2 linked regions of the Lepisosteus oculatus genome follow. The protein of the gene in region 1 interacts with the protein of each later gene in a biochemical or structural test. Links are inferred from orthologs where the notes say so. Each region holds a gene or a part of one and is shown on either strand. Other genes may lie near its edges. The genes, in order: foxa2 and otx2b.

Region 1 (15,587 bases):
GATTACATTTATTACAGAGAGGTGGAGAGAGTTGAATGTCTAGGGCAGAGCAGTGGTACTGTGGCTAAGGATCTGCGCTTGTAGTTAGGAGGCTGCTGGTTTAAATCTTGTGGCTAGCAGAGGAATCCTACTCTGTTGGACCCCTGAGCAAGACTGGCCCTTAACTTGAGCTTCTCTCTCCCACTCTCTGTGTCTCCTGGAGAGCAAGCTAGGGTATCTGAAAAAATAAATTCCTAATGCAAGAAATTGTGTATGCCTACTAAAGTGATCTTATTTTATCTTAAGGTAGCAGAAACAAACTAAAGGTGTAAGAGGGGGAAAACTGAACTTAAAGGAGCTATCTGTGAAGAAAAACATGTCTTTATGTTGACACATCACCTTCTACTATGCAGGGAAGTAATAAAAAGGAAACAAAATGTTATAACATATTTACATGAAGAATATTTATTTTAGGTTTACCCAGTATATTCAATATGTATAATTAAAATCAAGAAATAGATGTTATATATATACACTACATTATTATTTAGAATATTGTGTACAGTTTTGGCCACCTTGTTACAAACAATAGTTTTTCTGTTCTGGAACCAGTCCAGAGAAAAGCAGCCAGATACATTCCTGGAAATAAAGGAATACCTTCACCGACAGACAATTTTCAGTCTTACACAGAGAAAGAAGACTATAACAAGACCTGATTCAAATGATCAAAATCGTCAAGGGGTTTGTCAAGGCTGAAGGCACTGGATTTCTTCAGAATCCACAGTCAGACACGAACAGAAGAACACAAGTTGAAACTAAAGGAACGTTCCTGAGAAATTAAAAATGGGAGAAAAAAAACTTTTTCTTTCAAAGGTTTATAGGAAGAAGCCACACAGGCAATGGTGAAGTTGATAATGCTGTCTTCAAAAAATGGTTGATGAGATCCTCAGATCATTCATCTTCTAGCAAACACATGTACTAGATGGAGAGCCTGACCTCTTCTCACTTATAATCTTTCTTATGATCTTATATATTTTATAGATACATAAGTATGAAGGGGATCCCAGTAGAAGACATTATTAGTAGCAAAGAAAATGTTTATCCAAAATCCTCATAAATGGAACAACACTATTGGAATTTTTCATAGCATCTTGCACAAAACTTCAATCTTTGTTGGTGCTGCTTTGGTTTCACATAATTTGTATTTAGCTATCTTCTGCGTGAGCTACAGATAAAAGAGATCATGAGCTGTCGTTATTATTACATTTGCAATATAGGCAATTTGAATGCCTTTAGAAGTCTCTAATTTAAAGTGGACTTTTGTTCCAAAATGTCTTCCCTCCATGCACATTGTAAGACAATGATCTTTTGACTGATATCTAAAATGATATCAAATGTGACTAAGAGATTTATGGTTGGACAGACACAAAAACTGCAAATGGCTGCAAATGAACAAGCACAGTTTAACTCCACGCTGACAAGTAAAAAGAAAAAAAATAGTTCAGCTGTCAAGTCTTCTTGAAGTAGAGAGTTTATATAAAAACATTTCTAAAATGGTTTCAAAGGTTTATAGCATACCTAAAGATTGCATGGAAGATAACATCTGTAGTTATCTTCCACACAAATGCCGACTAACAATTTGATTTAGAGAACTCTGTGATAAAGAAGTAAAGAACTATTTTAACTGGACATTTGAAAAAAAAACAATATAGGGATCTTTAGAAGTTCAACAGAAAAGGTTTCATCTGGAACTTGACTGAATTTGGGTTTACAGTGTAATGTCTGCTTGTAAAAATGTTTTTGATTTTTTTAAATGCGATTTAAAAAATAAAATTGTTTCAAATCAGATGTTTTGGAGGCAAATCCCTGAACAGTAAAGGGGGTTAAAGCTTCACATTTATTTGTCAGACCTTGTCCTACTTGTAGCAGCTCCCTTGCACTAATTTGCCCATCTGTGCACAAACAGCCCAGAATGCCAGATAGTCATGGGTCACGCTGTACCAAAAAAAAAAAACAGCCCATTGCATAACAGGACAAGAACAGGAAATCAAACAGAAACGTACTGCTCTCCACACAACACACACAGCACGGCTTTAGCCAACCAGCTTTCAGACCCCGAGCAGCGGTATGACGCCAGTGTCAGTCATCTGCCTTGAATGGAACAGCGCTTGCAGGAAGTCCTGAATCCTGATGTTAAATGTACACAACTGAGGTGTTTCAATCCCACCGCCTTTTCACACTCAGTCTTCCTCGGGGAATCAATAGGCGGTAGAGTCTAACTGTACTGTACGTTGTTTGCTTCCCCACCCATGCATAAGCGCTTTAGTTATTGATGTAAACAAACACTTTCCCATCATTTCCAAGCCCCACAACGGTTTCAACACACTATCCTGGAAATTGCTGTGCCGATCAATGACACTGAGCTGGGGAACTTTTCAGAGCTCAGGGATTCCTGAAAAAAATAGGAACCCAGTTCTCAGGAATCCAGTAAAACACACATCCAGACTTACACACACGTTCTGCAAGCAGAATGGTATTTGTCAACAAAACTAAAAGTCACAAATGTTCAGAATCACAAAACCTCATTTTCTCATTAGATTCTGTTCATGAGATTAAGTTATTTTTTTTAAATCTCTGGCCTGTGTTTTTGGAACAGTTTGGCTTATGGTTCGGTCATAGAGAGATGTCAAAGATTTTGTCTGTCATTACTATACAGTTACATCTGCATTGATAAGAGATTGTTTTGGTATTATATTATGACAGTTATTGATTCTGCCGTATCATGATTTTTAATCCAACAATTAAAAGCATGAGAACATAAGAAGGTTTACAAATTCCATCTGTTAGACTTTATGACTTTATGATTTCTAGTAGATAATTAATCACAAAATTTCACCCAGTATAAACTCCTGCTTGCAGGATTTCAAAATATTCACTTTAACAAACTGACTGACCAATCAGTGTCTCCCATATTAAATCCTCCCCATTTCTCCCCTTAATTTCCACTTGTTACTCTATATGTTTTTTTATCTTTGGGCTGTTCTTATCATTTCCATTCCTGACTTTTTATCAGTTTTGCTTCAGACTGGAGAGTTTCAGTTCCTTTTTCCTATTTGTACGTGATGTTCCTCTACAATCCAAAAATATTCTGGTCACTTTAATTTAATCACTTTCAAAGGCAACAAAACCTTTTTGTTGTGTGGTCCACAACTCAGAATGCAATATATACTACGCTAGATATATTGAAAACGGGAGTCCGTTTGACCAGTCTAACTCATTTGGCTGCCAGTAGCTATTTGATCATATTGTTCAGTCGTTTCTTGAAAAAGCCGGGTTATCATCTTCAGTGGCATTGTTGGTTAGCTTTTTTAAGACTCCCATAATGCTGTATGTAAAAAGTGACACCCTTCTTGGGGTTACAGTAAATGCATATCACTGTATTATTTTTGTAGTTTCCACTTCTATCCTTTGATTCATGTTTCACTTTTGATTCTGCAGAAGTCTAGTGGGTTGATTTCATCAGAGCCTTTGAAGTTCTCTGACCGGGACTAAAAAGGTTTAGTTCTTTCAGCCTTTCTCTACAATCTATACTTTCATCATTGTTCCTGAAACACTTTACCTCACCCTTCTTTTACTACTGTAACACAGAATAAACCTTTATTATTGATTTACCATCCATTGCATAACCTGTGCTTGTAGTTCATTATAGTCATTTTTTTCAGAGGGATCTGGTTATATCTATGATTTTATCAATTATTTTTCATCTGTATATGTGTCTGAATTTATTAAACTGTTTGGGCCACTAGTAGTACTAATAATAACTAGAATCGCATGTATTCTATCTAGATCTGCCCAGCCCTAAATGCTGTCTAATCCCTCCTGTATGTTCTTTCCCAGAGAACTGAAGTATTAAAGAAAACACATTCAGCATTCACAATTTCAAAAATGGAAAGACTCTATCCCACACAGGGGGATACCATGATAACCCAGTTATGAGTGGTATAAAATACCAGGTGTACTTCAAGATGGACTATTCCAAGAACTGTTGCTAACTGCTTCTGATATTACAGAAAAACCATCAGGCCACCTCTGAAACACTACACTACTGATTGTAACATCAGTGATGGGACATGTTTGGGACATCTACATATAACTACGAAGGCACTAGACAGGTGGGTCAGTGTCACACATCTCTATTATCCCCTTCTGACAAAAGCCCGAACCGGAACACTGCCTAGTAAATAAGGCATCCAGTCCTCCAACAGTCGTTAGGCGAGCGTGACACCTGCACACTGAACAGTTCTGTGACTTGCATCTACACCTGCAAGTGATGATTGCATGTGTTTGCAACGGGACCAAAGTACAGAACTGAAGACCTGGGAGACTGTCTTCCATACTGTTTTAGGAATGCTTTACTCCCTATACATTAAGGCATTTTGTTTTATACTTTACATGTCAAGTATATACAACTTTGTTATTTGCCTCCAGAGCTCTGAGTCTCACTTCTTCCAGACCGCAGAGCAGACAACGTCTTAAAGCCCTTTATCTCCTAGCTGGTTTAAGTGACCTTTTAATTAGCCGAGAGGTGTGGTTAATCCCAAACAGAGCCTATACTGGCAGCTCCTTTCCCTCACGTGGAATTTCACTCCCACTGAGTTCCAATTACTCAGGCAGAATAGCTGTGCCTCGTTCTCCAGGTTTTTCCAATTAACATGTGGCTCTCGCACAAAGCCACCTCTCACTAGCTCACACAGCGGTATTATGGAAGACGTGGAGGATACGGAAGACTTGGTAGAATAAAAGTTATTTGCCGCAGAATTCAATACAAGTGGGACAGATGGGACAAAGGGCTGGCCAATGTGATATGTAATAATAATCCATCCATTTCGGTAACAACTTAGTCCCACACAGGGTCATGACAAGTGAGAACCTAACTTGGCAGGCAGTGGGCACACAGTTTGATACAGGAGCCAATTAAGAGATGGCAGAAAAATACGGCTTTGGACAGGCGGAGGAAACCAGAGAACTCCCAAATAAATCCACCTGAACAGGAAGAGAACATGCAGATTCCACACGCAAAGTCCCACCTGGGACCCAGGAACTGTGAGGCAGACGTGCTAAAGGTCACAACACTGTGCCATCTGTGTGACAGAAGAAATCTACAGCAGGGATTGTTGCCACTTTACCAGACTCCTTAATCGCACAGCCCTTTCTCACTACTGTTACCTGCATCTTAATCCCCAGAATCTATACAGTGAATTGAGGAGCAGTTCAGAGCAGGGGTGAGGGGTGGTGGTCTTAGATTCCCATGGTAGACATTGTTGGGGAGACCCTCAAAAAGAGTCCTGTAAAAACAGGCTGGCGCTCTAGGCGAACTCTGAGCGAAGAGAGCAAGTTGTTGTTGTTTTTACACAAGCCGCTGTCGTGAAATAAGAGTATTTCTGAAACAAATACCTACAGTACAATTGCATGCTTACCTTGAAAAGGCTGAAAATCACGCAAGAGGTAGAGAAGAAATAGATCACGGGACTCCAGGACTGCAGTACTTAAAACGGTAATGAATCATTTGAAAATACGGATTTGTTTCGTTATTTCCGCGTTGATGTCTGGGGCAGCGAGTTCACAAATACAGTGTTTCCACCTGTGCATAAAGGCATTTGTGTTCTGTATTATTTCCAAAAGAGGGCGCTCTCAAATGAATTAATCCCAGATTGGTTTTCTTCAAATTATCAAGAGTATCATTAATAAATAATATTTGAAAACCTCTTTTTACTTAGAACGGTCGGTGTTTTCTAACGACAAATTAGAACGAGAAGCTTATGGAATATGTATGAAGATATGTGTACTGGGGTTCAAGGCTCAATACGGTTCCATCGAAATTAAAAAAATATCTCTATTCTTGATTTAAAAGGAATTGTATAGTTTACTATAGAAATTATTTTTGTTGACGAATCTCAAATCCTGAATTCTTCGAATCTTTACATGCATAATCATTATCAAAGAACTCAAAGAACTCGTTTATTATCAATAAACATAGTGAAATGCTGCTAGATATCGTGTTGATTCTATATGAAATTACAAATACATTCAAAGACCATCAGTATAGTAATATCCACGCTCAGCGATTTTCTACGGCACTCCAAGAACTGCGTCCATGCAGAATTCTCCCGTTTGGTGTGTGTAATAAGTAAATATATTAGCAATGAAATAGCACGATTAATTTCACTTGAAAGAATGTTAGTGTTTTCTGAAGCCTGCTTTATCAGCCATCGCTGAAGAGATCTGTTAAATCTCTGATGGTCAAACACATTAAATAAACTTTACTTTGTTTAATATATCAAACAGCCTGCGGGTTCTCCAGAATCAATAAAATGATGACTCGTGATCTGCGACGCGGCTGCGTGCGAGATGAGTCTAAATTCAAATGCTGCTCCTGTAACTGAGAAAATAAAACTGGATTTCTCTGTGAAAATGTAGCTGAAATATAATTTTGATATAAATAACTTCCAATATTGCTCAAATTTAAAATTGGTCCACCGGGGAATTGTCTCCGCTTGTTTTTGGTGACAGGTCACTCATAAATCCTATTTCATGTTTCCTTTTGTTTTCTTCAGAGAAAATAAAACAAGGTCCACGTTGTGCTTTGTGTAATTCGTTTTGCGTTTTTAGTTTACTTAGTTGCGAAATGTCATGGGCATACAAACCTTGGAAATAGTGTTTTTCAAAAACAGATTTTCGGTTTTCTCTAGGCCAAAACTAGCCAAGCTAAAAAAATGATACCGAACAGGCAAATGATGAATTGGTTGTACAGTTAAAGGTCTGAATTCGGTCTAAAATAGTGATTAAACGAATTAGAGCAAAAAATATTATCCGATGACGATGACCTTAGAAGGACAAAAGGGCTGAAATGAGTAGATGAATGTTAACACACTTCTACGACTAATATTAGGATTTATTAACTGTAGTTTAATACTTATAAAATCACTTGTAAATCGTCTATTGGGAAAGCTGAAACTGGAAGAAATGAGATATCCGTACACGTTTTATTGAGATTACAATGCGTTTGATAAAAAGCATTGTTTAAAAATGTTTTATTAGCCAGTATTGTAAGCGGTAACAAATTCAAGTCAAATAAAACAAAAAAAAAGGAAAAGTTACTCGTGTTTGACCTCATGTTATGGAATACAATTCGATTCTTTACAGCAGAAGTGAACATCTAGTCTTGTTTCTGACGATTCTAACAGGGAATATAGACCACACTCCTGGCAATAAACAAAAAAAGGTCAAAAAGAAGGCAATTCTCTGCATTCCTAATTCCGTCTGCTGAAAAAAAGTGCATGATAAAAAGCCTTCTTACAACAACAGTTTAAACTCAACTCTTTTCTCCTGGAAAACAATCAGATTAGGTTATAATGAATCTTTTCAAATGGGGTTTGTTCTTTTTAGTTAGCGCAGGTGTACAATAGGCGGCCAAGCCGGGGAGTCTCACGCCTAGGTGTGAGCTGATTATTCAAATAGGGCAACGCAGAAGTAGGGATTGGAGATTTCGCCTGGCGCACAGAGCTATATCACAGCGTTTACAGCCAGACACCAACGTCATTTCAGCTCCTGTCATCATCAGACGCTATTCAGCGCCTCTGGGCACCACTGTCTGAAATCTACACATGCTCGAGTCCCCGAGTAGAAAGCAGACCAGCGATCTGGGTTACCGTTGGTCCGAAGTCTTGTTCTAGAGAACTTTTTTTAAAAAAAAAAACCTTCTCCAGAGAAGCTGTTGACCGGGTGGATTCGCTGCTTCCACAATGCTGGGTGCAGTTAAAATGGAAGGACACGAGCATTCAGACTGGAGCACCTATTACGGCGAGCCCGAGGTTGGTAGCTTATATATATTTTTTTTTTCCTCCTAAAGCCGATCCCATTTTATACAACTCAATATTAGCCCTGAGATAATATTAACTTTGTGATCAAATATTGACTTGAGGCGTCTCCAAATCCTCCCCGATCTCCGAGCTGCGCTATCCTAACAAAGTTGGGCTTGGCATGCAAGAAGAAACTTTTTTTCTGGAATTCTGACTTCATCTGCTTACATACAAGTCATGGATAATTTGTTTTTTAAGGATTGCTTTCTTTCATTCTGTAGTGGAAAATACACATGTAATTGCTATATAGTGCTGTCGAGTTGCATTCACTACTTAATGAATATGCATTCAATGTTTCTTTTTCGGTTTCTGTTACACTTTCTGTATTGTTTTCTGTACAATTTGATATTTTCACGTCCTGTGATCGTTCTAAGGAGAACTCGTGAAAAGAATCTTTGAGGAAATCAGTTTCGCTCATGGGACTTCTTTATACATTTTAGATTAGCCGCTGAAAGCACATTTGTTTGATTATCCTGAAAATATTAAATACGTTTCATGTAAGATTCGAGTTGGGTTTTTTTTTCTGCTCGAACGAAGACAACGCTTGGATGAGGAACAACATTTATAGAAGTCGTTTTGTCGAATCAATGATAGGTCGCGGGTCACCATTTTTTTTTGTTTTGTTTTTTTTAAAGTTTTGTTTTCATTAACAAACAAAAACTTAACTGTGGTGCCAAGTTTGTTTTAAGCGCCTTTGACACAACCGCCAGTGATTCGAAAACTTAACTTTTGTGTGTCTTTTTTTTTTCCTGCTCCCACAGTGTTACACATCCGTTGGCAACATGAACACCGGACTGGGGATGAACACCATGAACACGTACATGAGCATGTCGGGCATGAGCACGGCGGCCACCATGACACCGAGCTCCATGAACATGTCGTACGTGAACACGGGCATGAGCCCCTCTATGACGGGCATGCCAGCCGGGGCCGGCTCCATGAACGGCATGGGCCCCGGGATGGCGGGCATGAGCGCGGCTCTCAGCCCCAGCATGAGCCCGATGACCGCGCAGCCGCCGTCCATGAACGCCTTGACGTCCTACCCCAACATGAACGCAATGAGCCCCATGTACGGACAGTCCAACATCAACAGATCGAGGGACCCGAAAACGTACCGGAGGAGCTACACGCACGCCAAACCGCCCTATTCGTACATCTCCCTCATTACCATGGCCATCCAGCAGTCGCCTAACAAGATGCTCACGCTTAGCGAGATCTACCAGTGGATCATGGACCTCTTCCCCTTTTACCGTCAAAACCAGCAGCGCTGGCAGAACTCAATCCGCCACTCCTTGTCCTTCAACGACTGTTTCCTGAAAGTGCCTCGGTCGCCCGACAAACCGGGAAAGGGCTCCTTCTGGACCCTGCACCCGGACTCCGGGAACATGTTCGAGAACGGCTGCTACCTGAGGAGACAGAAGCGCTTCAAGTGCGATAAAAAACTCTCCAAGGAGTCCGGCAGGAAGACCTCCGAAGGCGGATCTAACAGCAGCTCGGAAAGCTGCAACGGCAACGAGTCTCCCAATTCCAACGCGTCCTCCTCCACCGAGCCCAAAAGGTCGCTGTCGGACATGAAGTCCAGCCAGGCTCTGAGCCCCGAACACGCTGCGTCCCCGACATCTCAGGCGCAGCATCTGCTGTCGCAACACCACTCCGTCCTAGCGCATGAAGCGCACCTGAAGCCGGAGCATCACTATTCCTTCAACCACCCTTTCTCCATTAACAATTTAATGTCGTCGGAGCAGCAGCATCACAAAATGGACCTAAAGACTTATGAGCAGGTAATGCATTACTCTGGGTATGGGTCTCCCATGACAGGAGCCTTATCCATGGGCTCGATGACCAGCAAGGGGGGCTTGGAGACCTCGCCAATATCCACTGACACGTCTTACTATCAAGGTGTGTATTCTAGACCGATCATGAACTCTTCCTAAGTTTTCTGCAACACAATGGACCTTTTCCAGCAATTTGTACATTTTGTAAAATAATAGTTTGTGCACACGCATTCCAAAATATTTTTTTGATGTTTCCCAATGATTACTAGATGTCAAGTTTGTTTAGTATTTTTTTTGTAAAAGGGGTGTTAATATATGACAAGATTTGTTTGTTTGTTTTCAAACTCCCACCGCAGCTTTTGAAACGGAACAAAAAACAAAACAACAATGTTACAAATTATGGCACGGTAAATACTGAATTTAAAATGCAATTTGGGAGAGTGAAGTGCTTCAGACGAATAATTTATCGTTTGTGTATTTCTTATTTATGGCTTGTAAATGTGTATTCTTGTAGTTGACAACAAGGGCAGAATATATTAAAGTGTTACTTGGACGTTTTGGGAACATGATCGTCTGGTCTTATTTTCTGTAAAATTATGTTTCATGTAATTACGAACATATTATATAGAAAATATTTCAGCATTGAAACGCATCAGTATGGCTTGATAAAGTCAACATGAAACAACACAAGGTATTTTTATCTACGATGGTAAAAATCATTTCATGGTTTAAAACAGTATAGTTTTCGCTATTTCAATACCAAACGGTGTTACGTTGTGGTTCGCTTCATTTAAGAGTTAGGACATTTATTAATTAAAACCAAGTATTTTACCTTTACGAAAACACCCTAAATCACTGTAAAATGTTGACCAGTCCGGATTTCATAAGGGGCAAAACTAAGAATCAGATCGAAAAATTATTTTGAGCCTAATTTAAAGTAACTAAATGTCCTATCGCATTCAATGATCTAAATAGTGACATATTGTATATCATTTCGGAACAATATGCAATGAGAAACTCAACAGATTTTAAAAACCGCTTTGGGACTTATTCTGTTTTTACCTTTTTGAAATTGTGCTGGAAAAGTACACCCGTTACACCTTCCGCTATTCTCCCCAAATAACGTGAAATATTTGCATTGAAAGGTTAGATCCTACAATTTAACGTTGATATACGGGTAAAACGAGTTTTCAGATGACCTTATAAAAAATCATGAATCAAATATAAAATCGAATAAACTAAATATGCTAAATATGTTATCATATTCTTAATATATGGAGGTGTACGTGTTTCTAAGATGACAGGGTAAATATTTCAGTCTGCTTGGCGCCAGAAAACAAAACATTTGGCCAGGCCTGTCGGTGTTGTTGATGTGTTAACTTTTGCGATTTCACACACACAACGAAGTCCTCTATTTTACTCCTTGCATGGACTCTCTTGCTATGGTTCACCTGCGTGATCATATTCACAGTTCGTGAAATGTTTCAGTGTGTGTTTGTAGCTTTGGGTGCCGCGGTGAGTTGCAGAATTGAAACACGAAGCACAAGAAACCCCACGAAGCCCAGCAGGGCATTTAGCCAAAGCTGCGAAAAGGAAGAAGAGTTAAGATCATCAGTGAACTACAGCAGATGTGGGAATAGGTGAGAAAAAGAGATTTGAACCGCTACAGTCAAACAAATAAAACGACATCCTCACCAACAGCTGATTAGTTCAAACCGCCTGGAACAATCGTTGTAAGCAAAACTAAAGTCCAGCTTAAAGCACTTACTACGCAGCGATGCTGCATATAGTTTCGTTTTTGTGGCGAAATCTAAATTCCATGAAATGGCGCAGTGTACTGAGAAACAGTGCTTTATTAAGTGCGTCTCGCTTTTCGCTGTACCTTATAAAGCAGCTAAATGACAAAACACCCACAGGAGAAGTGTTCTCGATGAATACTTGGTTTTATTGCCCATATGTTTTTCCTGATACACTTCATGATTACTAGTGTTGGGGCAGTGATGACTTAAATCTAGCAAGTCCTCAGAAAATCTAGATTAACATTCTATTAACATGTGTGAGCACTTCCAAACAAACATAAAAAAAATGATTAAGAACGATTACAGTGCCCAATAAATTCATGGACACAAACGGGGTGCGCTCAGTCGTCAGATTGCCGATGACAGCACCCGGTCGCTTGTTAGTAGACGAATGATATCAATTTAATTAAGCTTGATGTCATTGCAAATGCAAAACTTTTTTTCTTTTGATTAAATATAATTTTAATTTAGCTGTACCTTAAAAAGTTAAGAGTATAGCATTCTAGCTCAATTCGCTATTCGGGATTTATTCACTAGTACAAGACCCCTAAAATCATGAAACCACTGATGATGATACTGGTGAGGATTCGATATAAATCTGAAATTGTGGAATCGGTCACAGGATGACTTTAATAGTATAGTTCTTCACTTGGCGCTATTACTGTAACGAAGGGAAAAGGAATGAAAAAAAAGTTTGTTAAAAGTTTTCATTGAAATGATTAAAAATCAATTATTACTTCTTAGAAGCGCAGTAATAAAAATATAGAATAAAGGGGGCTGTGGTTTTATGCGCAATTACTGCTTTAATTTCTGTAACAAGATAATAGGACCCTTGAAGCACTTAAAGAAAGGTTCCTATTATCGTTTTTTTCTGTATGACACAATTTAATACTCTAGATCCTTACTAGTCCAATTTCTTAGACGTCACTATTTCTTCACAACAGCAGCCTAATTTCAAGGTTTAAATGTCAAATTTTTTAATTTTTTTTATTGGGGGGTGGAGGGGGGGGGTACTTTTTCATCTCAAAACTTGAAAACTCAAAAGAAAACTGGGAGGCGTCCAGAGGAGAATGTATTAAACGCATTCGTATTTAAGTAACAGTTACTATGTTATTTAAAAAAAAAAACGGTATTATTCCCGTGCAGTATCTCGGGTTTCCCACGCACAGTATACCACCAGATAGTCTGAACTCGCACCTACATAACAACATTCAAATCCTCCTTAAATTCGACATTGTCCTGAGAATGCAGTCCCCGGGTCGAAATCTCGCCCTCTCTCTCTGTTTCTCTCCTCCGGGAGGACACACACGTTGCGATCCAAGCATGAAATTTGTTTCATTATCACATAAAAGCCTCCCGGGGAGAAGGAGAATGGGGCGGCTTTGGCAACAATGGAGGCTGAATGTGATGCTCTAACCTGTTATGTTCTGTATCACACAGCCATTGTCAGGGGGGTACTTTTAAACTACTTAGTGTCTCCCACTCCACTGATCCTAACAGATAAGATGTAGTTCTCCCCGAATAAATCAAAACCGGGGATGTCATTCTGATCACTGGGAGAAACCGATCGGTTTTTTTTCCCCCCTGTCTCAGCCTTTGGGTGTCTCGCCCATGGCTACCTCCTCACATTCCGGACGTCCAACTTCTCTCACCGCGTCGCTCCTGGTCCCTTTATTTCCACCGTACATGTATTTTCCGACTCCATTCCACAGATCGGTCTTTAAACACCCGCGATCCGTGAATAAACAAAGTTTGTAAACAATGAATATATATATATACATGTAATACCAAATTCCAACAGAGCAAACTTTGAACAGAAAGACGTCACAGTTCAGTAAATTTGCACAGATATTAAATTTCGTTTCTCTTCATTTTAGCCATAATGCTAAGCTGAATTTTTATAACTCTGATCGATATCTCGGTAAAATAATCATTTTTTTAAACTAGCGGGGCAGTGAAATCTTTGCTTTGTGCTAAAGTCAACAGTGGCAGAGTTTGAGCTCAAATAAATGCCGGGATGCCTCGAGCCCTTTGCAGTAGGCTTGTCTGAGACGTTTTAAAACTGGGCTCCGGTCGTTTGTGCAGCTGAGCGAACAAACTCACCAGGTAGGCATATATATATATATTTCACTTTATGCCAAGATGGAGTGTTAAAGAACAGAGACAATCACCTACATCAAAGTGTTTGTTTTAAATATAGCTCCGAGTTCGGATTGAGAAAAAAAAAGTACCAATATTTCAAAGCAATATAACGTATTTTGGGGGTTACCGTTGAGAAACCCAAACCCATATGCCAGTTCAGTACGGCAGGTCGGTTTTTCTTCCTTTACCTTATTGTTATGGGTCAGTTAACAATAACAGGTGATTGATAGTCTCGATGTTATCAGGATAACTCACTTACCCTAAGTGCGCACGGTGTTTTTTTTTCTTTTCAAAATCCAATGCGGACATACAAGCACTCTCACACACGCGCGCGTTCATGCATATATATATTTAATAATATTTAACAGGTAGTCGCGTTTCTTCGTACTTTCGTGCATCGCTATTGTCTCTTTGAACGTTTTGCTTCATCTATTGAATGTTTTATTATGATCACTTCTGCATAATACCTAAAATTATGTTTTTTAAAAAATTCCGAGTACCAAATTTCATACATTTTATAAACCTAATACCAAACCTTACCTTTTATCAAAACCAAATGAATTTACTGAATTTTTAAAACCCAAGTATGAATTACAATGGAATAGAAGTGGATCTTCAGTTGATATTTATTTGTGGATATATTTTACATATATAAAAATTAGAGCAACGGAAATAAAAATATGAAGTGCATAATAACATGGTATATTTACAACATTTCAAATACGCACTCAAAAGACGTGTTTCTAGTGGAATTGTGCTGATTTTAAAACAAATGCTGGGATGTTAGAAAAGTAGACGGGTGTTTATATATTGAGTATGCGAACACAATCACGGATACGAATGATGTACAGGTCAACAATTCAGTACTTTTAATCAGAAACAAATAGCTTACACCAAAGAAAAAATAATTGAGTTTTATCTGTACAAAATGTATCATGTATAGATTATTTCTATTAAGTTTCAGGTAAGTTTTTCTCTTTTATCTTCCGTTTTTAACATAACCAGAGCTCCCCGCTTTCAGTACTGCATCACCAGCTAATGCTGAAAAATGAATAATAACCACGATCATATTATTTCTTTAAAATAACATAAAATAAAAAAAATTAAAAACATTAAAATATTAAAAAAATATATGTGTGCATATATTTAGGAGCATAAACAGCAACCTGTGGGCTACGTAGTTTTATAATCTTCTTAGAAAATGCTTAATTTCACACAGATATCATTAGCGCCTCAGTGCACTCAACGCGTACAGAGGTCTACAATTTCTAAACACCTGTAATTTCCCAATACGCTGTAAAACTATAATAATCTGCAACCCCTTCGGAGTGCTGTAAAATTTAAAAACAAAGTTGGAGTTTATTCATTTACTTTCCCTGCGTAGCTATAAAACTTGTAAGTATACGACCGTTATGTCAAAGGACTGAACAACGTTTTTCTGACTCTCATATTTCACGCAACAGTAAATGAAACAAAGAAAAAAACACCGGCGCTGAGATGATTTTGTTTATATATGGGTGCATTTACATCCACATTTCTCGAGGAAAAACTTATCGTGGCCACTTAAAATATTTGCTAGGCTATTGAAAAGATGGGAGTGAGCGCACAGTTGTCCACAGCCATGTTATTAACAGCACCGAAGTCTTTCATTGTGCGATGAAGTTTTGAAAATGCGAGTGACTCCGACGAAATAATAAGAAAAAGTCACTTTAAGCAGCACTGTCGCTTTTATTTTCGCCGGGTAGACATCTTCGCTTCCAAAGGCTCTTCAGTGTCACAGAGCAACAAGTAAAATGATAAATGTTATTCATTAGAGCTTTGCGATTTTTACCAGTCAAATTCCAGTAAATCCGCAGAAAGCTGTGACATTATATCTAACCTGATAACTGAAATGCTAAAGGATGTGTTTGAACGAAAACAGACGTACTTATGCTAAATAGCATCATCCTCATATAATAATAATAATAATAATA
Region 2 (16,182 bases), on another chromosome or scaffold:
TACAGTATGCACATATTTCAAGAAAGCAAAACAGATCTATGCCTTGTTTGGCCAGTTCCTTTATGTCGACTCTTTATTATTCCAAGGTTAGGAAATTAAAATACTTTGTTCACAATCTTGAATGTATTTTTCTGACTTTCTTAGCAAGTGGAAGAAGGATGGCAACGTTATTAACCTGGCAGCCAGTGTGTGAACTGTACGATACAAAATAGACAGGTGGTATTGGTATAGTCCTAGTTTTCAACGACTCACAACAATGCAGTGTTAATGTTACAAACGTGAGTGCTTCAGCTTCATTTGAGTCACCCTCCTCTTGCATTACGCTAGCACTTTTTCCAATGCCAATACTTTGTTGAGATCTGGTGGCTTCCCTCTTTTGAAATCCAAGGCAGAAAGCAGGTAATAGAGGCAACTGAACGAATGTGGCGAACTTAAAATCAGCAGACAAAAGATCTCCGACATTTGCAAGTGCAATGTAAACACCAGATGACAAGCCTTTGGTGTTGTCTACAAAATCTCCAAAAATATCAAAAAAGAGAATACAAACAATGGAATACATCAACACATATCCGTCTTGAACTGGGGCACAAAGGACATAACCTTTGTTTTTGCCGAAGGGAAGCATTTGGATTTAATTATGTGCTTGGGGTTGACAGTTTATCTCCACAAATTGAAATCCCTTTCGTAGGACCTCTTATGTCTAAAAGATGGCTTAATCTAGAAAGTGAAAGGCTCCCTGCTGTGTCTTATGTTGTGCTATAAAAAAGTTGCAGAAGCATTGTGTTAGCCATAGCCCTGGCTGTCTGAAGGATCACCAGTATTTTCCTTTGAGGTCTTGTGAACCTGCAACATTGTCACATGAGGGATCAGCTCCTTTCCCAGTGACCACCACATTATTGCATGCAGGGAGAGGTGTGTGCGGAATTCTGAGACTCTCCGTCTACAGTAAATGCTAAAAAATCAAGGCAGACCTGCCTGTGGTAAAAGCTAATCTGACTTTTGCAAAAGTCTGATCATAACGTTTTCCTCCTAGGAATCGAGAAATAATTGGAACGGAAACATCTGTCACTTTTTTTCCTTTTTGGGCTGCTTCCACTGATCTTGAACAAGTCTGATTGCTGGACTGATTTGTTTCGTTTGCTGTTTTGATCTGGTGTGACTTTGCCATTGTCTACTTTAAGCGCTTTGAGAAGCCACCTTTAAAGGCGCTATATAAAATAAAGTTTATTATTATTATTATTATTATTACTGCCGGTAACCTCCCTAGGTTGGCTTTGTAAATAACACCTTGTTCCTAAATGGTTAGTTCCAGGTTAATGAACATATAACTAACAGAGAACTGTGGTGAATTCATCGTGATCTTCAAGTTTCTGCACTGATTTGCGTCTTCCTGTCTGTGTTGTAACTACCAGCTCATAGTCACCGTTTTTTTCAAGTATCAGATAGTGCTCTTGTTTCAGCACGTTTGTAAGCAATACAGCTCTCTAGTTTGACCCTCCATCATTCTGCCACCCAGCAGAAATATTCCGATTGCATCCCTGCTCCAGTTGAGAAGATGTGATCATGGAGATGGAGTGCACCAAAGAGACCTAACTCTCCCCATTCTGCTTTGGTATAAACATGGCTCCTATCTTGTTTTAAACCAAAAACATCAGACCAGGATGTCCTTCCATCTGTCAATATATTTGTCCAGGTGATGTTTGCAGCCTAACAAGGATGCTTAATGTACAACAACATTATCTCCCTTTTCCTGAATACTTAAACTCAGCCAGTCAGATATAACAGTGTCAACACATCAAGACACCACACTGTTAATCTATTTTTTGGGCATGGAGCGGGCACTAAAATTGGATTCACCATTTATTTAGCAATATTCTTTTTTAAATGCATTAAATGGAAAAAAAAGTTGGCTGCAACTTTGAAAAAAATGCTCAATCGTCATTTATTTTGTTTCTTTCAATCAGGTAAATACAAGTATGATACAGCAGAAAGGAACTCTACCTAACCTCAGATACCGAACAACGTTGAAAAACCAAGGAGAACAGACCGGTGGCTCAAAAGTTCTCTTCAAAGACCACGTCTCACCGTCTCCAGCGAGAACAGCAACAGTGTCTCCGTGTTGCGGAAAACAGCTACGTGTGTTTCTATCGGTCTGGTTTGAAGGTGAAGGAAGACTGAATCAGGCTGCCCTCGGCCTCTCTCTCTCTCTCTCTCTCCGATTGTGTGCTTGGATTCGAGAGTGTTTAATCTTCTCTCAAAGAGCTATTGAAATACACTGCCCTTTCAATTAAGTGCTTTCTTGTTCTGGGCCCTACCTCGTGTTCTTAATGAAGACACGTTTCATTTTCAATATTTTTTCAATAACATTAATATTGCGCCGGACGGGAGACTGAGCACCGGCGGCGCGGTAATAAACTTGTGATGGGGAAATTGTTTAGGCATGTGTGTAGGGTGGTGGGGGGGATAAAGTTACTAATGGGAACTGTGGATGTCGCTTAAAACCGATTGCATCACGCTAACCACAACTGGACAGAGGGTACCGGCTCCCTTTTTTTCAGTATTCGAGACTGTGATTTTATATTTATATCACAATTAAAATATAAATGAACGTTACCATTTTAATCTTAATCTTTATACCAACCGGATTTTCTTGGAATTTGCTCAAAGACAGGAGACAAGACACAGAATGCAGAAATTAGTTTTCTTTCGAAAGAAAATGAAAAGTAAAGTTTGGAATGCAATATCGTATACTGTATGTGTCCATGTGATACGTAAATAACGTCTGAATCCATGGTGCTCGCCGGCATCTCCACTCGGATTGAAACGGTATATTCGAGAGAGGGTCCTAAGGCTCTTTTTTAAAACGCAGGTCCCTGCAATCGCCATAACTTCATCCCAGTTAAAGTTATTTAAAAGGGTGTCCGCGTTCCCATAGACATCGCAGGGTATGTGTCTTAAACTAACACGTAAACCTAACAGATCAACGGTGTTTTCTTTCAAACAGGTAATTTGTACTGACGCTCTTTCCAAAATGAGTCCCGGAGCCCTCACTGAAGTCTCAGACAAAGAAGAAGAAAGGAGTTTTAAAAATCATCCTTATCCCGCAATCGTCAATTAGTCTCTAATTGATGTTAATCCCGCTACAATATTTATTAAATATTTTATTATGAATAGTAGTATTATCTGCATTGTCATGCTGACCCTGATCTCTAGAACAGGGGTGCTGGAAGACGTTTATACTTCAAAGCATCCCTCACGGTCCTGTGTTTAACTCTTCAGGTGTACAGCTTGATACAGAGCTGTTCTCTGTAGCGCAATCAGAATTTATGTTTAATACGGAATCCCGGTAAACATTATGTGCACGCAAACCGTTCAGGAAACTCCAGTGAGATCATTTAATTTGAAATAAAAAATACAATTGATGCGATGATAACAGCAGGGGCTGGTGGCGGGTGTTGTAGTGACGATGAAGAGAATTGTAATACTGTAGCTATCCTCGTTTTAAGATTCTTGGTATATTTACGTCATCGTTTTATATTTAAATACTAAACTGGAAAATAACCCATGGTATGTTGTTTGCCCAGAAAGCCCTACAAACAAACAAGAGCAATCAAGAGATGGGCTGCATTTAGAAACTAGCAGTTACTACTAATAAATCTGTCATATATATTTTTTTTTAAATACAATACTTCAGTTCAATTATAAAGTACGTTATTGACTTAAATGTTTCAAGTTGGAACATTTGTTTGACAAGTTCTATTCAGTTTTCAGGTGCTACTCGGGTGTTTTATATGAATAAACACAGCTGCCAACTTTCTGTTAAAGTTCACATTACACACAGTTCACAGACTGCGGGATTACAGATTGCAAAATGACTCCAATTTAAGAAAATCGTAACGTCAGCACGAAGTTACCTTGACCTATACTATCGGCTCTGAAAAGGGATATATAATTTACATGTTAACGTTGCTTAAATAATATCAAGTTAATTTAGCTGACAGGAATGAGTTAAAACATTTTGGATCTAGTTGAGAGTTTGATATCGATATTTCAAACTGGTTTATATATATCGACGAACGCTCGCACTAAACGTTATTTTTCCCTTTACGGTTTAAGGCGACGGCAACGTTGGAATAGCTCCGTATAGTGATATTGTAAACCTTGTTGTCGTCGCTCCAAAATGGAAAAGGCTTCCAAAAAAGAAGGCCTCGATTTTGAAATATTATTTTAAATGCTTTGTGTTGCTCGGGCGCGTGAAGAAAGGGGATAACTTTATGTGGGAACTCTTTACGTGAAGTGGGACAGGATTCCCAGGAGTCTTAACCCTACAATTCGTTTTCCATAAACCGGGATAAACAACGACTTCTTCAATTAGCCGCGAGGCAGCGGGGTTACTGATAGCCGCTGGCGTTAACACGAGGTGTGCGATTTCGTTTTCCCGTCGTTCTCCTTTTTAAATATAGAAATTCCCCGAGGCGGTGTGGTATTTAAAAATGAATAATTTATCAATTTAGCTCTAAAGAGTCGGTGCGGGTTACATCCGAGCTATAATCTCGAGCTGCGTCAGGCGAACTGGACGCTGGATCCTGCAGTCCAAAACCGTTTAAGATTAAACCTCTCAGAATGTTTTAGTAGTCGACTAACAATAATCACAGGTTATCATTTTCATCTAGCGTTTGTAATGGAATATTCATGGAATTTCCTTATGAGATGTAAATGCTAAAATTAGTAAATACGTAAATAGTAATAAATACATAGTAAAAAAAGAAAATATAATATGACAACTCAGTGAATTTAGGGGGAAATGGTTTCATATAATGGTTGCATATAAAATTAATGATGTAAAGGTGTCATCGTATATGTATATAATTATTGCCTTTTCGGAAAAAAAAACGTTATTTTTAAAACGTTTTCAAGCTGATTCAAATAACAGCTCGTCGAAATCCAACTTCATGAACTCTCTGAATTGCGTCTTGTTTTCCATAAAGTAAATAATTGTGCCGTTCTTCGGACAGACGATCGAAAATTTAAGAAGAAGAAAAAAAACAGACGACTGTAAATGCATTTTAGATTCTGTGACAGGTTGGGTCCCTCTTTCTGTTCCCTGGCTGCCGGGGTGTGGAGAGTTTATTGGAAGACAGTCCTGAAAGAGTTTGCAGCAAACAAAGTTGCGAGGCTGTGAAAAGAGCAGCAATAACAATTAGCTTGTTCGCTAATCCCTAACAAAACGCGACCTGTCCCCGAGCGCTCCGAGAAACTGCGGGCACGCGGGGGGGGTTGGGGCTGAGGGAATCGGGGGAAACGGGGACAAAAGAGGCTGATCCGTGGGCCCCTGTAAGAGTGGGTGGGTGACACACAATGCAAATAATCCTGGTATAAAATTATATGGAGTTCCTCCTTTTGCTGTTTGCTTTTACGCAGCCGTTGTGTTTCGGTTCTAACCAAATGTTTTATTATTATTTACAAACTGGAGGTATGAGCAGGCAGACACGACTGATACGGAGACGGACGTGATGGATTGATTTGATGAAGTACGTTAACAATGGACTGACATGTAAAATCATACCCTTTTCTCTCCCGTCCTCTTCTTCCACTGATGGTCTGATAGTGACCGAACCTCTGAAGTTGCTAGCAGTGAGCCTCGACGTTCGCCGCCAAACTTTTGTTTCCATCGCAGAGGAAGATCAGTCCTCTTACGGAAAACTTAGCTCACGTCCTATCTGAGACCTTTTATTTCGTCCTGCCTCTGATTATTTCAACGGTGATGATTAAACCTCGCACCGCACGCATTTCAGAATGGCAAACGGAGAGTTGAGAATGCGTGAATTTCCTGCTCAAACCGACCGGGGGTTTATGAAGCTGTGGATTCCGGCTTTGGGTTTAAAACCTAAATCTATATTCAAATCTGACTGAGGTGTGTGTGAGTGAGAGAGTGAGGGAGAGAGAGAGGGGGGGGGAGCGGGGAAGATTGTGTGGGATGTGTGTCTGGATTTCTCAAAGCTTTCTAAAGAGGATACATATACCAAACAGTGACAAAATCCTCCCGATTTGTTTTTGTGGGGATGCACTCGTTTCACAGAGGACTGGAGGTTAAGTGGGGGTTCGAAGCAGTCGCTTCTCTCGTTCAAACCCTCGGCAGACAGTCATTTGATATCCCACCTGAAAATGCCATCACTTTAAATTATTATTATTAAAATTATTTAAAAATATTATTGTTGTTGTTGTTGTTGTTGTTGTTGTTAATATTATTCACTCGTTTGCTTATAGCGTTCGCTTTGCTTCATGTTGATACACTGATGGAAAGATCGAAAAACTATTTTGGAATTTTTTCTCCTATACATTTTCCTCTTGGATTTTTTTTTCGTGGACACCAGACAGCTCAGAGTGACTCCGAGCGGGATGTCAAATTCCTCCCTTATCACGCCTACCTTTGGGAACTCATTTCTAGCTTTGAAATACACATACGCTCAGAAAGAGCACGTATAGATGAACTACCGTGTTTTATGTAGGCCTAAATATGCTTAAATTGTAATATTATACAACGTAGTTGAAAAAAGTAGAAGTTCGGAAACTTGTTCTACTTTATTAAAGCACGTGTCAAATGCCAGAACATAAATTAACTATCCATTGGTTTTGGGTATTATTTCTTAGATATTGACAACTTCCGCAACCGTACTTTCTATATTATTATTATTATTATTATTATTATTATTATTATTATTATTGTTGTTGTTGTTGTTGTTGTTGTTGTTGTTGTTGTTGTTGTTCCCTAATAAGAGTATATTTCCTCAAATTTCTAGCGATTAATCAAGTCATATTACCGTCTAAAAGGTGATTTATAAAATAATACAATACAAGTTAGACTGTTCCACTGTAAGCAGAATCTATATCCGACACAAAAAAATCAAATCCATACATACCTGAAGTGTCCTTTGCAATTCCCCCAAAAAGACAGTGGTTGAAATTAAATCAGTAAATCATCGCCCATCTCTGCTGTTCCCATCAAAGAACTTCACAGGACCTTCTTAAACGTCCTTGTTCTTGTCTGAGAAGTGGGCACCTCCAGGTTTGTGTCGCCATGTATCTGTCGCAACAGAAATCCGTGGCAAGGTTTGTAATGTGCAAGTTTAGCGCTATTAAAAACTCTTCGGGCAGCCCCTAAACACGCACCGTCCGGAGTATATAACCTCAGCAACTACATAGTTGGGGTGTTTCAGGAAGTTTTCAGTCTTACCTGCACTAACTTCGCTTCCTTGGGAATTCCCAGTCTCTCTTCTGAAAACTTCAACTACAGTATTCCGTCGCTTACTCGCTTGTCATGGGGCAAAAGCAGTGTCGGGAGCAGGGCGTGACAGTATATGTTCTTCAGAGGGTCGCCGAGTCTCTAGATCTGTATGGTTGCTATATATATAAAAAAAAAGAAGAACAAATTCTACCGGTCTGTCTTTCCCCGTGGTGCACACTACGATGTCAGTGAAACCCTGGTTTAGGTATTTAGGGAAGCCGTCCGGTGAGCCGGTTGAGTCCTCGGGGCGCGAGTGGGGGGTGTTTACTGCTGTTTTTAATTAATCGTGGGGTTCAGGGGACGTCATGCTCACCTTTCTTCTCTAGAAAGTCCTACTATCTAGGACTGAAAACAATGCCCTCTGTTGTCCCTCAGAAGACGGTAGTAGCGGTTGTATTTATGGTGTGTGTGTCTGTGTGTGTGTGTGGGGGGGTGTTTATAGTAAAAGCAACATTTTAAAATGTGTAGATAATAAATCCATCAGGGGCTCCCATGTATCCGCCGCCTCTATCAACCCTGACCCAGGAGGACTGGAGACGTTGGACGACAGCAAGACCGTTCTCTCCCCCCCGTAGCGCTATTGCGCTGTACACTGGCGTGTTATTATTATTTTCCCTTCTCTGACTCCGAACTGGGTACGTTGTCAATCAGGCTCTCGCTGCCATTGGCTGGGGAGTTTGCGTCAAAAAGTTGCTGGTGAGATTTGTCTCTCAGCAAATCTCCCTGAGAGAGAAACAGACCTCAACCTTCCAGCCTCTCTCATTGGACGGCGCGCTCTCTCCAAGCCCAACTCCGCAACTTCGACAGAAAGATCAACAAATCGCTACCGTATGTATTTTCAATTCTTCCCCAGGATTTCGCCACCGCTTCGCAAAATGTCGCGCAAAATGTCCAGGCTTGAATTCGCCTGATTTTTCTCTTCTGCTGTTTTTTTTTTTCTCTCTTTCTTACAGGATTTCCTTACTTTCAAGTTTTTTTTCGGGGGGGTGGGGGCACAAATCGAATTTCGGCCGAACCCGCTCCCGGAAAATCAGGTAAGAGTCATTCCCGTGTGTTTTTGAGGACTGTGTTTCGAATCCCTTTTTTTTATTATTTACGGCGTAGAAGTGCAGCACTCCGTGGAGATTTTTTTTCGCAGGCGGTTGTTTTAGAAAGAAATTGGTGGGCGATAAAATAAGTTTTAGTCTATTAAACGAAGTCTGTCTTGAAAAAATACACGATCGGGAATTAAAATGGCTATTTTGCTCTGCATAGTAATCAAATCAAATCTTTGTAATCCGAATTAGCTTGTAGAAAAACTAGATTTCACGGCGGTACATAAGGCAACCGAAAACTCAAGCCTACTGCACAACGTGTTACCTGTGAAACCGCTTGTGCTTTTAAGCCTGGAAATAAACATACAAGGATGTATCATGAACAAAACGGTTTACTGTGTTTTCGAATTTTGCTTCCACTAAACGGATTTATAAAAGCAAATAGTGTTGTAATAATCGTTTTACATTGTTAAGATATTCAGAAACTCCTGGCGCAACTTTCGCCTGTTCGTATTTTCTTCCGAATTCCGCTGAATGTCCCCACTTGTAATGGAAATACAGGCGGACAAAGAGCGGTAATTGAGGAGGCGTGTATCGGAGTCTTTCTTCCCCGAGTAGTCCTGCTCTCTCCGCCCCCCGGCACCCCGATTTCCACTGCTGCTCGCCTGTCCCCCCTCTCCGGCAGAGCGCGGGCAGGCAGGAAACCGTGCAGGAATGGACCGGGTCAGACAGTCTGGGCTGCACGCCTCCGTTTGCGGTCCACTATTCCTTTAGATCCTTCAAACTGAGATATACTCCCCGGTCCCGAGAATCCCGTTTCCGCCCAGACACGGTGATCGATGCAGAAGACTGCAAACGAATAGTCTGTATTAACGCGGTGCTTTAGTCATCACGTAGTTCGGCTACTGTGGCCGCCGGTGGTATCCTGGCAGTCGTTAAATCGATCAAACGAGGTTTTTTGCTGTATGAACCGAAAGGATATTTTAATTCTGGAATATCTAAACTGTTTCTGTGGTATTTCGTATGGCGTCGATATATAAAACGAACACATAAAACTGAGTTAGAAATTAACCCTTTTCTTTCGTTTAACTCGCCCTGAGAAATTTTGATTACTGCCCAGTCAAACGGGCTCTGTGCTTCTTGAAATTGCTCTTCCGCTGGAAATGCAACTTTCATGTAAACGAATTAAATATTGGGTGTTTCTTTACACGAATCCCGCATGCCATTTGTATCAGTACAGTCTACACGCGCAAAATAGACTTTTTGCTCAGTATAAAAACGTATCTTATGAAAATTAGACATATGTACATGTAAAATTATACTATATAATTTTCATTTTGCTGATGTAAAAACATAAGATACGTACAGTATATATACATTTGGATGTAGCCTACAAGATTAGCATATATTTGAATTAAATATCGTACAATATATGCATCGAAGGGATTTTCAGTAATATGTGCTATTCGTTTTTTTAAAAGTCGGAATAATTGTGTTGTTGTTGTTGTTGTTTTGTTTTAGAAATGTATGGAATTAAATTGACTTACCCGTAAACCAGTGGTGAATTTATATTCCCCGCTCTTGTCTGAGGGCTTGTACCTTAAGAATCTCCAGACACATTAACACATTTTCTAAATAAATATAGGAACGCTTGGGCTCTGACTGACTGACTACTCCCGCTCCAATCTGGACATGGAAAAAAAAAACGTTTACAGAAATACAGGCCTTTAAAACAACTGCGGCCGACAATCGGCTAGGCTGCGTTTTTGATCAACAGAATGCCAGTCTATGGTTGTTGTTTTTTTTTTGTTTCATTTTCATCAAGCAGAAAATTAATCAGCCCAAATGCGCTGCAGAGTCGAGGTTAGCGTCCTGTAATTAGGGAGCGCGTGCCACCCGGATTATCTCGTTAATTTATCAAGAAAAAAACATTTATTATAATTAATTCTTGGACAGGGTAATTATTATTGAACGGGTGAGGAGCAACTGGTAGACGAAGGTCTGTGCAAAATAAAGTGACAGATTGGCCCGGTTAGCCGTTAGATATAAAACGTGCAATCGTGGCCTCTTGCACTCAGGCGATCTCCGCTCCTACCAGTTCCAGCTCTGCAGGTATGAACCTCCGATTTTTATTCACAAACTGGAACTGAATGGAATTGTGGGTGGGACAAAACTGGGGACTTTCGGAAATCTTAAAATTAATACTCCTGGGATGAAAAAAAAAGTGTTTCCTGTTTAATGTCGTATCTACCTGAACTGTAACTGAATACAGAACTAGTCTTATTGCTTGGCTTTAAATGTCCTGGGAGAAATAAGACAATCGTATGTATATTAATTATATAGTCGTATTTTTGCGTCATCTTTGTTCATATTTATTTTAGATTTCAATTATGTTTTGGCGTCTTCAATCCATTTGCCTTTTCGAATATTTTGACACCAAATCTATTTTTTTATAACGTGCGGGATAATTGCAAATTAAATTAACGATTTCACGCACACATATACTTGTATGTTAGCACTAAGTGTTACTGACTTCTTAAGAAAAAGGGTTGTTCGTCCGAGGTGAGTAAAGGAGTTTAGTTTATCTGGACTTTTGTGGGCTGTATTCCTCTTACCTTTACAGTGTAGGTATGGTGTTGCATTCATGGAGTATACAAGAGGCCCAGAAAAAAAAAGGTTAATTATATCCAAGGAAAAAAGGTTAATATTATTTTTAGTGTATTGTTTAACTGAACTTTGGGACAAGTTTCCTTTGAGGAAACGTGTGGTTTAAGATTTTATAGTCGCCATTTTGAAGATTCTCAGTGGCTCCGGGAAACTTGTAAAACACAAAAGTGATGATATCATGGGAGGGATCAGATAATATTATTACAAAAATCTGTCTTAGCAGCACTTGAGAAAGCTGATTGTTGCCGCGAGGGGTTGTTATCCAGTACGCCGTGGTTCCTGAAAAGTTCTAAAAAGTTGATAATTAATCTATTGCACTGGCATCGTGTACGGTGACAGTTATTCTGAGTTTTCTTAAAAGCTGAATTGTGTCAAGGGTTTTTTTTTCTGTGCAGCAGTTTTGTAATTATGTGGTGTAATGTAATTATATATTATTTCAATGCGGGTATGATTCCTGGAATTCTTTTTTTGTAAAAAAAATCAATGTTATTTCTTGTTATCAACTAAGGTTATACAGCTCCCCATACAACCAAGGTAGATGTTAAGATTTTTCCAAAATCGTTACCCAGTTCGCAAGTTGTAGTCGGTTTTAACGCCGTAAATGAGCCAAGAGGTGCTGTGAAAGCGCGTAAAGAATGAGTTTGTAATTGAAAGTTGATTGTTTGTTTAACGCAAGTCTCTTTAAACACTTCTAATCAACACCTGTCGATTGCCTAATAAACTTCTTTTGAAATCTTCAAAATGAAATTACCGGAGGCGTTAATAGTTGGAAATGACGAAGAGTAAAAAAAAAAGACAGCAGCATGTCTAGTGGAACTGCAGAGTGAGAGAGTTGCTCAAGTTTCTGGTTATTTGCTGAAGTACTGGTGTTTCACATTTTAATGACATCCTATTTAAATTGACAGCGATTTCTATTATGTAGACAAAGCCCGCAGATATAATTAAAACGAAGAAGCGGTGCTAGCTTAATGGCTACAAAATGGGGAGCGAAGAGTTTTCTTCATTGTTTCTTTGTTTCTCGCCAACGGGGCTTTTGTTATCAGCATTATTTATCTGGCCAACACCGGCCTTTGTCTCTCCAAATGGCCCCCAATCAAGTCTACGTTGGAAACAATTAGCTGGTCCGAACCTATGGGTCCCTATGCAAATTGTGCTCCTTGTTGCTGCCCAGTGTGTCTGCATTTGAACGAATGTGTTTTGTTCTCCGAGAAGGCGTGCTGCAATTATGGGGTGTAGCTTGCTTTTTTTTTTTTTTGGGACACGTTTGTCAGGCAAGAGCATCACTCAGTTCACTGGGACAGCTGGGGGTCCAGGGCCGCTTTAAGAGCACAGTGCGAGCAGGACGGCGCTCATTCTGAACTTAGCGCCAGCAGCTACAGGAACAGCGAGCCCATCCCGCAAAGAAGCCGAAATCAGAGCAGCCCCTTCGGCTCACACGCAGCCTCCGCGCTTCTGTTTCTGATTTGTCGGGCAGGTACTCACCTCTCGCCAGCCGAGGGCCAGAAAGAACCAGCGAGGACTCCGAGGGGCCTTCTGCTTGCTTTTCGCCATTTTTGCCAATTTGTCCCTCCGAACCAACTTTAGCATGATGTCGTATCTCAAGCAACCACCTTACACAGTCAATGGGCTGAGTCTAACTACCTCTGGGATGGATCTCCTCCATCCGTCCGTAGGATACCCAGGTAAGCGCGCTCACTCTTCGATTCGCTATCAGGGTGCGGGGTTTTTACTTTTTTTTAATTTAGGGAACCATTTTTTTCTGCTTCTAAAAGGATTGTAATTTTTTTAAATTGTTTACGAAACGAAGCGGCGAATTTCTAAAATGTCGTCGTTGTTGTTGTTTGTTTCTTAATGGACTGATTTTTCAGTTTTATATTCAGGTAAAAAATATTTGTACTCGAGATCCACCCCCCAAAAATACACAGTGGATAAATGTAAAAAGTGTTTGGTTCTCTTTTAAACTTGACAGGACATTAATAATTTGGCAATTGAGTAGAATGATATAACAAGGCCACATTGTAATTGTAGAAACTCTATGACCAGAGTTTTTTTTTAATGTAGCTTATTTTTCACCTAACGCCGAAGGCGTTAACATTTAACTACTTAATAATAATGTAGTAACAGAAACGTACATTTCTTACCGATTTTCTACAATTTTAAATAACCCTTTAGGAAAATTGAAATTACATTCATCTTTTAATTGCGCATATGCATTTGTGTGTTGGGGTATGAGCGTATAAAATACGCATGTTTATTAACGATAGTGTAATTATATATGATTTAAACAGTGTTTAAATATGAATTACCTTGTGATGACTATGTCGAAGCTCAGCAAAAAAAACAACTTTTCGGATTTTAACAAAATTCACAATTTATCTGCACACTTTTGTGGCTATTGGTAAATTCCCAAATTATTTAAGCATCACGCCCGGCCTCAAACTACATGCACTCGAATGTATTTTATTCATCTGCAGCAACGCCTCGGAAACAGAGACGGGAGCGGACTACTTTCACCCGCGCACAGCTCGACGTCTTGGAAGCCCTTTTCGCCAAGACTCGCTACCCGGATATATTCATGCGCGAGGAGGTGGCTCTGAAGATCAACCTGCCCGAGTCTCGTGTACAGGTGAGCAGGATCACCGCGAGAGCACAGGGGGGTGATCCCGCCACGGTCCGTGACAAACTCCCCCTCCCCTCCATTTTTCCCTTAGCAGCCTCTGGGGAGAATCTCAGAGAAGCTTTTAATATGAACCCTATATCCCCCTTCAGAATAAACCCAGTCTTGTACAGTGTGTGTGTGTTTTTCAATTGATTGCTCTAATCGCCGTGAACAGGGGCTCTCACACAAAATTTAATTTAAAAGCAGAGACGTGGCTTAAGAGGGTGATTTTAAAGTAGAACAGGGACACTCTCAAGTTGCGAGAGGTAGCTGAAGCAAACGAGTCATGAAACGTGTGATTATTGCTATTAGTAATACTTTATTGTTGTCCATAATATCTTAGTTCGTTTGTGATCTAGCACACCTTGAGTTTAGCATTCAGGACGCACTCGATTTAACAGCGCTATATGAACAGGATTAGGATAATTATTAAGGGGGTCACAAGAAATGCCACTTATGTTTTAGACAGTTTAATAAATCGTGGCACCACTTCCTCTGTCATTATTTTGTATTTTCACTCTATTTGCGTGCACGTTGGTTCCCCTGTTCACTCGCCAGTTCTGTGACCGATGCGCTGCTGTGTCGTAGGTTTGGTTTAAGAACAGGAGGGCGAAGTGCCGACAGCAGCAGCAACAGCAGCAGAACGGGGGCCAGAACAAGGTCAGGCCGGCCAAGAAGAAGAGTTCCCCCGCCCGAGAGGCCAGCTCCGAGAGCGGGGCGAGCGGCCAGTTCACGCCGCCTTCTAGTACCTCCGTCCCGGCCATCTCCAGCAGCAGCGCGCCGGTGTCCATCTGGAGCCCGGCTTCTATTTCTCCCCTCTCCGACCCACTGTCTACCTCCTCCTCCTGCATGCAGAGGTCCTACCCGATGACCTACACGCAGGCGTCAGGATACAGCCAGGGCTACGCCGGATCTACTTCCTATTTTGGCGGGATGGACTGCGGGTCGTATCTTACTCCGATGCACCACCAGCTACCCGGGCCTGGATCCACCCTGAGCCCCATGAGCACCAACGCGGTGACCAGCCACCTCAACCAGTCCCCGGCGTCTCTCTCTGCCCAGGGCTACGGGGCATCGGGGCTAGGATTCAACTCGGCGGCAGACTGCTTGGATTATAAAGACCAAGCGGCCTCCTGGAAGCTGAACTTCAATACTGATTGCTTGGATTACAAAGATCAGACCTCGTCTTGGAAGTTCCAAGTTTTGTGAAAGAGAACGTTGAGGCTGGACAGTTCCAACAATAACACGTAACGATAATGACCATCTAGTCCTGCCATCTTCCACTAGACATGCGAGTAAGAGACTGGACATTTCTGAGATGTTTCGGATTGAGGACGGGGTATTGATGGATCCCTTCACCGCCCTGCTCACTCTTTGACCATAACACGGAGAAAAACTCTGGCCATGAACTTTTTTTTTTCTATTCTTGTTAACCTCGCAGGGCGCAAACAGACGACCGTCTCCTTGTCCGCGTGTATGTGTGTGCGTGCGTCTGTCTGCGAAAGGGACACCTGTTGGTTCAGGCGAAGGAAAACGCTGAGCGAACTCTTCTTCTTCGCCACCTTGATCAATGCCACGGAACAAATCGTTATCCCAGAGAGAAAAAAAAAACAGTAAGAAGAGCCAATCTTGGTTAAGTGCTTGGAATGGGCAGGCTTTCCTTAAGCTTCTTAAAACTTGCCGACCTGCTTCCCTGTTGGCAAGCCAGAGACCCTTTGATTCGGGGTGGTGTGTGGACTGCGCGCCCCCGCGGCGATCTGGATGCACTATTTTATTTAAGAAAAAAAAATAATGTTTATAAGGAATCAATATGTAGTTTTTAAGAGACAATCAGTGTGTGTCTTATATAAATGGTACATATGTGTTTTTTATCTGTGCTAGCCTTCGAAACTGTGATCTGTTGTATTGTATGCAATTTGTGAGCGCCTTCGCACCAGCGAAACCGCTCTGCTGTGATTTGAATAGGTTTATAACTTTTTTTCTGAGCGAAAAAAGTATTAATAATGATAAAATAATAAAAAAAGATTAATTAAAGAAATCCCAGACTGCCCGAAACCTAAAACACGAGAGGGTCGGTGTTCGGGGAAAAAAATAAAAGGAAAACTTTCACCCATCTCCCTATTTCATCCCGCAATCTAACAACACCGTGAGCCCTAGGATACAGCTTGTGGGGTGTCGTGTGAGCCGTCAGTGCACCGAAACAGTGGACAGTAATTAAGGTCATGTCATCTGACCCCTCGTACAATAACTATTTAATTAAAACTGGAATTTTTTGTGTGTTTGCAAATGTTGATAGAATATTATATATAAGTATATATGCATAAACGTCAGCCTTGAATTTCGCACACATGTATGACTACATTAAAGTCGTTCTAGCACAAATCCAGTTGTCTTCCGCTCTTCCTGAGTTTAGCCCGCGGCGCTGAAAAGAAATAAAGATTCAAAGTGGAAAATAATTATCTACAATTATCTGGTGTTTTGGGATGGAGTGTAACACGATTAAGTGGCCTGTACTATTAAAGATAGATCTTTATTAC

What was found.
Region 2: the proteins of foxa2 (region 1) and otx2b form a complex in vitro, tested with the Homo sapiens proteins (2 studies listed by BioGRID). The link is inferred for Lepisosteus oculatus from reciprocal best matches to the Homo sapiens genes FOXA2 and OTX2.

What each region holds. Positions count from the first base shown.
Region 1 is NC_090697.1:10,715,334-10,730,920, reverse strand, and holds foxa2 (forkhead box protein A2), read left to right. Parts: upstream 1-7,524; 5' UTR 7,525-7,781; coding exon 7,782-7,850; intron 7,851-8,659; coding exon 8,660-9,832; 3' UTR 9,833-10,242; downstream 10,243-15,587. UniProt on the Homo sapiens protein: Transcription factor that is involved in embryonic development, establishment of tissue-specific gene expression and regulation of gene expression in differentiated tissues.
Region 2 is NC_090703.1:10,052,996-10,069,177, forward strand, and holds the start of otx2b (homeobox protein OTX2), read left to right. Parts: upstream 1-7,993; 5' UTR 7,994-8,113; intron 8,114-8,238; 5' UTR 8,239-8,319; intron 8,320-12,460; 5' UTR 12,461-12,571; coding exon 12,572-12,668; intron 12,669-13,460; coding exon 13,461-13,612; intron 13,613-14,233; coding exon 14,234-14,854; 3' UTR 14,855-16,182. UniProt on the Homo sapiens protein: Transcription factor probably involved in the development of the brain and the sense organs. Can bind to the bicoid/BCD target sequence (BTS): 5'-TCTAATCCC-3'.